Linked DNA regions of Coturnix japonica. The protein of the gene in region 1 purifies or fractionates together with the protein of each later gene. This does not show direct contact. Links are inferred from orthologs where the notes say so. Each region holds a gene or a part of one and is shown in the gene's direction. Other genes may lie near its edges.

Evidence for each region. The genes of interacting proteins can lie anywhere in the genome.
Region 2: the proteins of SOST (region 1) and LRP5 purify together in Homo sapiens (affinity purification with mass spectrometry; 3 studies listed by BioGRID and IntAct, counting the BioPlex papers as one, with this or other methods). This does not show direct contact. The link is inferred for Coturnix japonica from reciprocal best matches to the Homo sapiens genes SOST and LRP5.

The regions. Positions count from the first base shown.
Region 1 is NC_029542.1:2,887,269-2,891,223, forward strand, and holds the end of SOST (sclerostin), read left to right. Parts: intron 1-1,334; coding exon 1,335-1,785; 3' UTR 1,786-3,203; downstream 3,204-3,955. UniProt on the Homo sapiens protein: Negative regulator of bone growth that acts through inhibition of Wnt signaling and bone formation.
Region 2 is NC_029520.1:8,359,099-8,363,987, reverse strand, and holds the start of LRP5 (low-density lipoprotein receptor-related protein 5), read left to right. Parts: upstream 1-1,894; 5' UTR 1,895-1,991; coding exon 1,992-2,079; intron 2,080-4,889. UniProt on the Homo sapiens protein: Acts as a coreceptor with members of the frizzled family of seven-transmembrane spanning receptors to transduce signal by Wnt proteins.

The DNA.
Region 1 (3,955 bases):
CTTTAACCAAAAGTCTGATGTTCACAATGATGTGAAACACCAGCTTTGGGAGGAGGGATGGAAGGCAGAGGGAGCAAAGGAGTTTTAGAGGGAGTACCCCTGGAAATAGGGCAAACTCAGTCCTTCAAACCTACATTTGGCTGTCAAACGCACATAGCATCCCATCACAGGGGTCAGAAGGGGCCTCTGGAGGTTAAAAATCAGATAATATTTTAAAAACCACAACTAATAATATTTCTAAGTGCTGTTCTGTAGGGTCTGAAATCCCCCAAAGGGAGGACTGTGCTTCCTGCGGGCAGCCCCACATCCCCCACTCAAGGCAGGTTGGTTCAGTTACATCTGCAAATCCTCATTTGGAGCCTCTGGCTGCTCTGATGTCCATTGGGGTCCATCCCACTGAAATACAATGGGGTTTGGGGTGAAAAAGAGGGAGTGAAGGGTATTTATTGCCTGAAGTGTGGGAATTCCATAGCACTACTGTGTTCCCCCACCTGGAATGTTAGCTCATGGTCATTTAAGAAACTCTTCCCTTCTGCAGAAGAGTTTAAATCTGGAGGGAACCTCTGAGGTCAATAGAGTTGAACCAGAGCAATGGGGAAGGCTTTCCCCATGGTAAATGAAGCCAGTGGAACTCCCCATAGAGTAAGCCCTGGTGTTGGGCATTCCCTGAGCTCACTGCTCACCAACACAGCCCTGTGTGGGATTTGCCTTGTGATGGGGGTGGACGTGGATTCATCCACCTGTTCATGGTGATTCGAGGGTCTCACAACTAGAGCAACCTCAGGGTTTTTGGAGACATCAAACCCCTCATTCAAGGTGAATAAAGTGCAGTGAGGTTGGGTTAGAAGAGACCTTACAGCTCATCCAGTTCTTGCCATGGGCTGGGTGCCCCCCAGCAGCTCAGGCAGCCCACTGCCCATCCATGGCCATGGGCACCTACAGTGATGGGGCACCCACAGCTCTGGGCAGCAGTGACAGTGTCTCATCACCCTCTAAGCAAAGAATTTCCTCCTCTCACCTGATTTAAATCTTCCCTCTTTAGTTTAAAACCAATCCCCCTTGTCCTGTCACACTATCAGACCATGTAAAAGTCACTCTCCATCTTTTTTGAGCCCTCTTTAAGTAGTAGAAGGCCACAATGAAGTCTCCTCACAGCCTTCTCCAGTCCATACAAGCTCAACTCTCAACCTAACTCCATAGGAGAGGTGCTCCAACCTCTGAGCAACCCCATGACCACCTCTAGATCTGCTCCAAGACCTCCACATCCTTCTCAACACTGAGGGCTCAGAGCTGATGGCTCTGAGTTCCCCTCCTTGTGGATGGGAAGGCAGCAGTCACACACTAACACCCATCTCCTTTGCAGATGTCTCCGACTTCAGCTGCAGAGAGATGCGCATCACCCGCTACATAACAGAGGGGCCGTGCCGCAGCCTGAAGCCTGTGAAGGAGCTGGTGTGCTCGGGGCAGTGTGTCCCATCCCACCTCCTTCCCAACTCCATTGGCAGAGGGAAGTGGTGGAGGCAGAACTCCCCGGATTACCGCTGCATCCCAGCTCATACCCGCACTCAGCGCATCCAGATGGAGTGTCCCGACGGTGAGACTCGGACTTACAAATTCCGAGCTGTCACAGCCTGCAAGTGCAAGCGCTACACTCGATACCACAACCAGTCCGAGCTGAAGGACTTTGGGAAGGAGCCTGTCAGGCCACAGAAGAACAAGAAGTCACGTCTGTCCCGAGCCAGGAGCAGCAAACCGAGCCAGCATGAGCTGGAAAATGCCTATTAGGAGGTTGTGCCAAGTGATGCAGCCCAGCAGCTCTGGATATTTTATACCATATACAATGGCACGCACAGGCTGAGCACGAGGGTCTGACTGCAGGCGGTTCCAATTCCTTCTGCTACGCTGGGTCTAAGGCTCACATAGTCAAAATCCATCAGATGATAGCGGTTATGATCTGATAAGAGAATGAGATAAAGCGAGCTGGTGGGAGCTACATTCAGTCTGAAAGGAGGGGACACAATGGGGATCAGCATGAGGCCACCTGGTTTGTACAAGGAGAGGGAGGCGAGGTGGTTAGGGTGACAGACATATCACACCTGGTTAGGAGTCATTCTGCTTGCTGGATGCAGAAGGAATGCCACATTCCTTTCCCTTTTCTGAGTCCCATGGTGCAGGACAAGCAAGGTGAGGCCCTGCACTCCCAATGGGTTGGGGGTGTTAGGGATGGGGAGGTTGGGGCTGGGTCTCAGCTGGAGCCAGGCTACCAGAAGTGAACATCCCCTGCCAGGTGTCCTCATGCCCCAGTGGTTTCCTCCAAGAAAGAAAACCAAAATATGACATTTGTGCTCTCACAGGCGTGACCAATCTGTGTCACACTTCTAATTAGAATGCTGTAGGGTCAACAGGTTCAGAACTGAGAGCTGACAACCAAATCATCCTATTAAAAAATAGGAGCAAGGGTTTGGTTTAGGACCAGTTGAGTGAGTTCTCCTAAGGGAAGCAGTTTTACTAAATGGATGCTCCTCTCAAGCAAGATAAGCAAGATGTTTGTCCTATAAACAGCTAATTGTGTGCACGGTTTAACATAAAAAGATACTGATTAGTCCTTATTTCTTAGTACACAACTGACTTTAGTATCAACCTAGATATCTCAATGTACATTACATATTCTGTAGACTTTGAATTACGTGGCCATACACCTTGTAGAGCTGAGACTGTGCAAGCCCAGTTCTGGGAGGAGGGTTCTGCATGAGAAGTGGGCCTCTGCTAAACTGAGAGTCATGAATTCCTTTAGAAGAGTCTTTGGTGTGTGCAGTGTCTTCAGTTTGACAGCAACTGTACTGAACTTCTCAACATTCAGACTAAAGTTTGTGTTTTCCATTAAAGAATATTACTGGGAAGCAAATAGCCACACGCTGTACATATCCTGTAGAAGTGCTAGGCCTAGTATCAGGTGAACACAGATCATATAAACGATGGCCATTTGCCTTGTTGATTATAGATTCTGCAGTTATTTTGTGTGGGATCAGATATCTAGAGAGAAAAGCTATTGTTTCAAAGAGTGAATTATGTATTTATTTTGTCTAAAAAATTATTTATGCAACGTTTTCCCTTGTAGAGAAGTTATACTGCTTGAAAAAATGTTAGTCTGTCATTGTGAATTTTAAATACATTGGTAATAAAGTAGAAACAATGATTAATTATGGGAAGACTCATTGATTTTCAGCTGCAGTACGGAGCTGTTTGCTGTAAAGGCAGTGAAATACAGAACTGGAGCTCGGCTCCAGCCTGGGGCATGCATTTCTATGATACAGAGCACCGAGATCCTTAATTTCCAATTAATAAATGACACATCTCTAAGGCTACTCTATATCGGAGCTTCTCACCCCTGGGCATGATACTCCTCATGCAAACATCATCTTGGGCAGATGCGGAGCTCAGAGTCCCAATGCACCATATTCATTTCTACTCCCCAGGGTAAGAACAGCTCAGCAGACTCAGCTCCCCACCTCCTCCCAATAACACTGATTCACAGTCTGATAATCCCATCAAAAAACACAAGAATGCCACCGACTTTCAATCAAGAAATCTTGATTGAGATCTGATTAGATTCATAAAGGTTGGAAAAGGCCTCTCAGATCAGGAAAAGTCCCACTCCAACCCATTTGCCTTTCATACCAAATCTATACACTCCCAGTTCTTCCCAAACAGAAGTATCCATACCACACCCAGAGGAAAACATTGAAAACAGCATTTTCATGGGCTAACCTTGAACTGAGGAAGCATTCCTGGGCACATGGCATCCATAGGACAAACTCAGAGTAACACACACTCCCAAGGGTCTTTTGTAAGGCCCAAACACACCTGTTATCTTCAGTGAAAGATAACCTCACAGGCAGCTAAAATCCACCAGGTGTCAATGGTTCCACTTGAAATTGGGCTCTATAATTACAAT
Region 2 (4,889 bases), on another chromosome or scaffold:
TGGGAGGCAGCTTCCTCAGCATGGAGCTCAGGCTTCTTTTCGCAGCTGCCCAAATTTAACTTTCTCTAAACGCCCCTGCAATATATGAATGGGTTAAAACTGCATCTCTGTGATTGGAGGAATACTGAGCTCTTGGCAGCTACTAGATTTGCCATCGCTCCAGATTGTGACCAATGTCCTTTTAGCAAAGGTGTTGCTGTTAAAGTCTTAAAGATGCATAAACATAATATCTGATAAATATAAAATCTGATAAGTCTATCTTTCCTAGCTGCCTGCCTCCATAGCCTGGTCTTCCTTTTCTCTGTTTCAGCTTGGAGACTGCACTTTAGTCTGTTAATTAGAGAAGGGAGAGGGCTGCCAAGCAAGAACACCACATACTTTGGAAATAAATTTTCATTCCAGCTCTGCACTACTGCAAAGGACGAACTTCCACATGGTGTGAAGCTCGGTGGGCTGTGCCTGCAAATAGTCCTTCATCACAGCAAAGGTTGGTGTGGGGCTCTGAGCAGTCACTGGTGGATCTTCTCAGTCTCAGTAACTCTCCTTACAGCAGGTACTTCCCTTTGAAAAATGCTGGTCTCTGTTGAAATCTCTCAGTCAGAACCATCTTTATCTCTTTGTACAAAGTTTTGCCATTAGTGTTTCACAGCGGCTCTGATCTGGGCTCTGGTTTATTGTGGAACTTCTATCAAGGAAGACCAGCTGCTGGTTTTCCCATCTTAAAGAACGCTGAGGTTTAAAATGCCTCCTGGAATCGGACATCTTTAAAGTAAGCATTCTTTATGTGTTTAACAAGCAGGAAGGTAGAGCAGGAAGCTTTATTTTCCTTTGTGGGTTAGTGTGAAGGTCAGTGCTATAGACCTTCTGTAACTCCTCAACACTATCCCAACATTAAACCCTTCTTAAGAAAGGGGGAAACCTGCACCTGGTGACCATCAGGTCCCAAAAGAATTCCTGAGCTTTTAGTCCCACTGTTGGAGATGGGTAGTGGTCCATTGGGCACTGAGAAGAAATCTGAACCATGGCTGCAGAACCTACAGCAAGGCAGATCTATTAGGACACATCCATTGTCTGAAAGGAAAAGCAACTTTTAAATATCTATTGGTTAAGCATGTGATTTATGAGGGAATGCCTTGATGATGCTGTCTGTGTATAGACTGTAGTATTTCTATTTCCTATGGTAAATTTGGTGTTGGCACAAGGGAAAATGGAGACTCCAAGGGAAATTCTTGACTCCGTCCCTGCTGTTGAGGTGTTTGTGGTAGCTGGGAATGAGGGAGATGTGGGATGTCTGGGTTGCAGGTGGCACAGCTCAGCCCCTGCCATGTGTCACAGAGCAGCTTCTGCCCATTTCTCACCGCTCATGTACTTGTATCAACAGGCTGCGTGTTTGATGGGGGGAAAAGCAACTGAACTGCTGCTGGAAAGTGACTTTGTTCGTGATGCGAACACAGAGCACTGTGAGGAGATGCTCGTATTGCTGGGAAGAGGAAGGTGAAGGAAAACCCCCACCTGGGAACAAAACAGCTGCGTAAAGGAGCAGGTAAGCGCACACTCAGCGCAGATGCACAAGTAGTTTCTTTGTAAACACACAGTGAGCACTTTTGTCCGCCCCTTCTCGTGCCCCTCGCGTTCTGGGGGGAGCCGGGAAAGAAGCAAAACAAACCCAAACGCTTCGGCAAGAGACCAGGAGCTCGAGGATCCCCGGCCCGAGCCCGATCCGCCGCTCCCCGCCAGGTGCACGGCGCGGGCCTGTGCGGACGCACGGCTCCTCCCCGGGCCGCCTCGCGAGCGGGAGGATCCCAGCCCCCTTCGGGGAGGCAGGAGCGAGGGGGGAGCGGGCGGAGGAGGAGGAGGAGGAGGAGGAGGAGGGCCGGGAGCGGCGCCTCCCCCTTCCCGCCTCCCTCCCCGCCGAGCGCAGCGCCCCGAGCATGGAACCTGCCTGAGACGCTCGGCGGGCTCCGCTCCGGCAGCTGCTGCTGCGGCACAACATGGAGGCGGCGCCGCCGCTCCCGCTGCTGCTGCTGCTGCGGCTCCTGGCCGCTTCGGTGCTGCGCTGCGAGCCGGGCTCGGCCGGGGGTGAGTGCTGCGGGAACGGGAAGGGGGGGCGGGGAGGGGGGGGAACGGCGGAGGGAGCTGCTGCCCCTTTTGTTGGCGGAGTTTGGAGAAACTTCCCCTGAACTCCGCCGGGGCGAGACGCGCACATGGACGGGACGGGACGGGCGGAGCGGGGCTCCCCGGGAGCGGCTGCGGGAGGGCGGGGAGCCGGCGTGTGTGCCCGCAACTGCCCGGCCCGGGGCGCGGAGGGCTCCGCCGCACGCAGAGGCCTCCCCGTCCCCTCCTCGCGGGGACCGGGCTGCACGGGGGGACTCTCGGTGGCCGCGTCCGGTCGCGAAAGAGAGACAAAAGTCGTGTGCGCGTTCCCACCCCCCCCTCCCCCGCGCCGCGCTTCCGCGGTCCCGGATTTGTGCGGGGTTTGGAGGAGCTGGTGTCGGGTGTCGCTCACGGGCGGAATCCGAGGCTCGGCGGGGCTGCCGAGGGGGGTGGGGGAACGAGGCCCCCCCTCGGCCCCCCCTGCGCGGCCGGGCTCCGTCTTAGGGCCGTGGGCGGCGGGCGGGCGCTGGGCTCCGCACGTGCGGGGCTCCTGCTGCGCGCTGTGCCGCGCTGCGCTGCGATGCTTCCCGGCCGGCTGCGAAAAGTCGGTGGTGCGGCCGAGTAGGGCAGGAGGGCACCACGGGGCCTCCTTTATTGGGCCACCCACCTTAACGAAGCGGCTGCAGTTATTAACGCTGTCATTGGGAACGGGAGCGCTGGCTGCTGGCATCGCCGCTCTCTATTTTTAGTTGGAAGTTCGTGTAGGTGTGTGTGAAGTTTTGCTCGTTCTGTCCTGTTTCCGTGAGGAAGGTGTGCATCTCGGAGTGCCCCTTCTCCTAACGCTGACCTCCGTCTTGCCAAATAGTTTCAGAAAAGCCAAAGTGAGACTCGTTCCATTCTGAGCACTCGTGTCGGTGTGAAGATGTTCGGACTTGAGTGAGTTAAGCTATGCAGCTTCAAGAAGTGAACTCACAGCTGTTTTATATGGAGCATGAGGAGCTCATAGTGTTCCTCGTGGCTGCTACACGTTTACTTGCTGGTCTTACAAACGCCTTTGAAATATTTAGTGGCCTTTGACTGGGTACAAGGATGAAAGTTTTTACAATAAGGGTGGTTGCCCAGGGAGGTGGTGGATGCTCAATGCCTGGGGACACCCAAGGTCGGGCAGGACGGGCTCTGAGCACCTGATCTAGTGTAGGTGTCCCTGCTCATTGCCACAGAGTTGGCCTTTGAGAGTCCCTTCCAACTCATGCAATTCTCTGGTTCTTATTTATTAAGGAGAGAACTTTTAATAGTCTTAGGGTAAAAGCATAATGCAGTTCACGGTGATGTTAAGTTGTAACTTGGAGGATGAATTTGTTTCATCTCATTGTAGAGGCAGCGCTTTTGTTATCGTGGCACTGAGTTGCTGCCTTCCAGACCTGTTGATGAAGCTGTGAGCCCCAGGGATGAGCGTGCTCTGTGCACGTGGGGCAGAGCAGCTGTGTGTGCTGAGGAGGAACCTGCTTCCAGCTCCCCGGCCCTGTGAGCAGACGCCTGACTTTAAGGGGCTTTTACCTCTCAGAAGTATTTTGATGTGCTTATCTCACAAGTACGTAAATAGATCAGCAGGATTGGGAATGTGCTGGAACTTCTCTGGTGTTGAAGCTTCAGCTTGGTAGAGTGGATTTGGAATGCTATGGCCATGAAATAACTTCACTGTGGAGCAGTGTCCTTGCTCTGTATGTGGTCGTGGCAGGAGTTGGTTTTATTAACGTGGCTTGGAATAATGATAAACCTCTGTGAGATGTGTGTTGCACTGACCTGGAGGTGAGGCAGGGCAATTGCTGCACTTGCTGCTTCTGTGGAGGGAGGGCTCTCTGCCTCTGAGAGTTACTCAGGAACTATGGCAAGGGTGTATTTTTCTCTGAAAATATTGAAGTGCTTAATGCTGTATAGCAGATGTTTTATGTCTGGCTCTTAAAAAGTAGAAGCGTTTGAAATAACTCTCGTTAAAACGTTACCTTCAGCAAGAATTGCTCTTAAATTCACCGGAGCTGGGTTAGCTGCTGCCTGTGGTGTGCTGTACTGGGAGATGGTGATTTGCTTTAATGGGATGATGATTTGTCCGATACCAAGACGTGCAGAATAAAGACATCTGAACAGAGGAGTGTGCTGGATCATGACAGAAGCTTGGAGCTTGGGATGCACTGTGAAATAAAAAATGCACTTGAGCACAGCCCTTACAATGGCTTTTAATTCATACTGTTTTTCTTGAGATAATCTAAAACTGATGAAACTTCTCACTGTGCCTAAGTGTGGAATGTAGCAAGATGGAACACGTGTTTAATTTGGTGACGAGGGAATGTGCTGTGTGGGAGTCCCTATGACTTCAGTGCCGCTTCAGTCAGTCCTTCATTGGCTCAGGGAGCTCTTCTGGTAACCACTGCCAGCACAGCACGAGTCATGGGCACAGGTCCTCTGGGCTAGAGAGACAACACCGGAGCTTCAGGCTTACCATGAAGTTTAAGCTCATATTTTCCAAGTGCTGGCTGTTCTGTCTCCAGACGAAGGCTTTCAGTCTCATTCAGGTGTGGTCTCTGAACTCATTTGCTAAGTCTGAGCACTTTAAATGTACTCTCAGGGTAGATGTTTACATAATGAATGCATCAGTCAGACACATAAGGTCAATACTTCAGAAGAGCGTGAATGTATTTCAGCAGTAGCCCAGTGTGAATTCCATCATTGCCTTTTGCTATTTTAAAAGTTGTGGGTTTTTTTGTGCTTTTGGGTTGTTTTTTTTGTTCCTCAGCTGC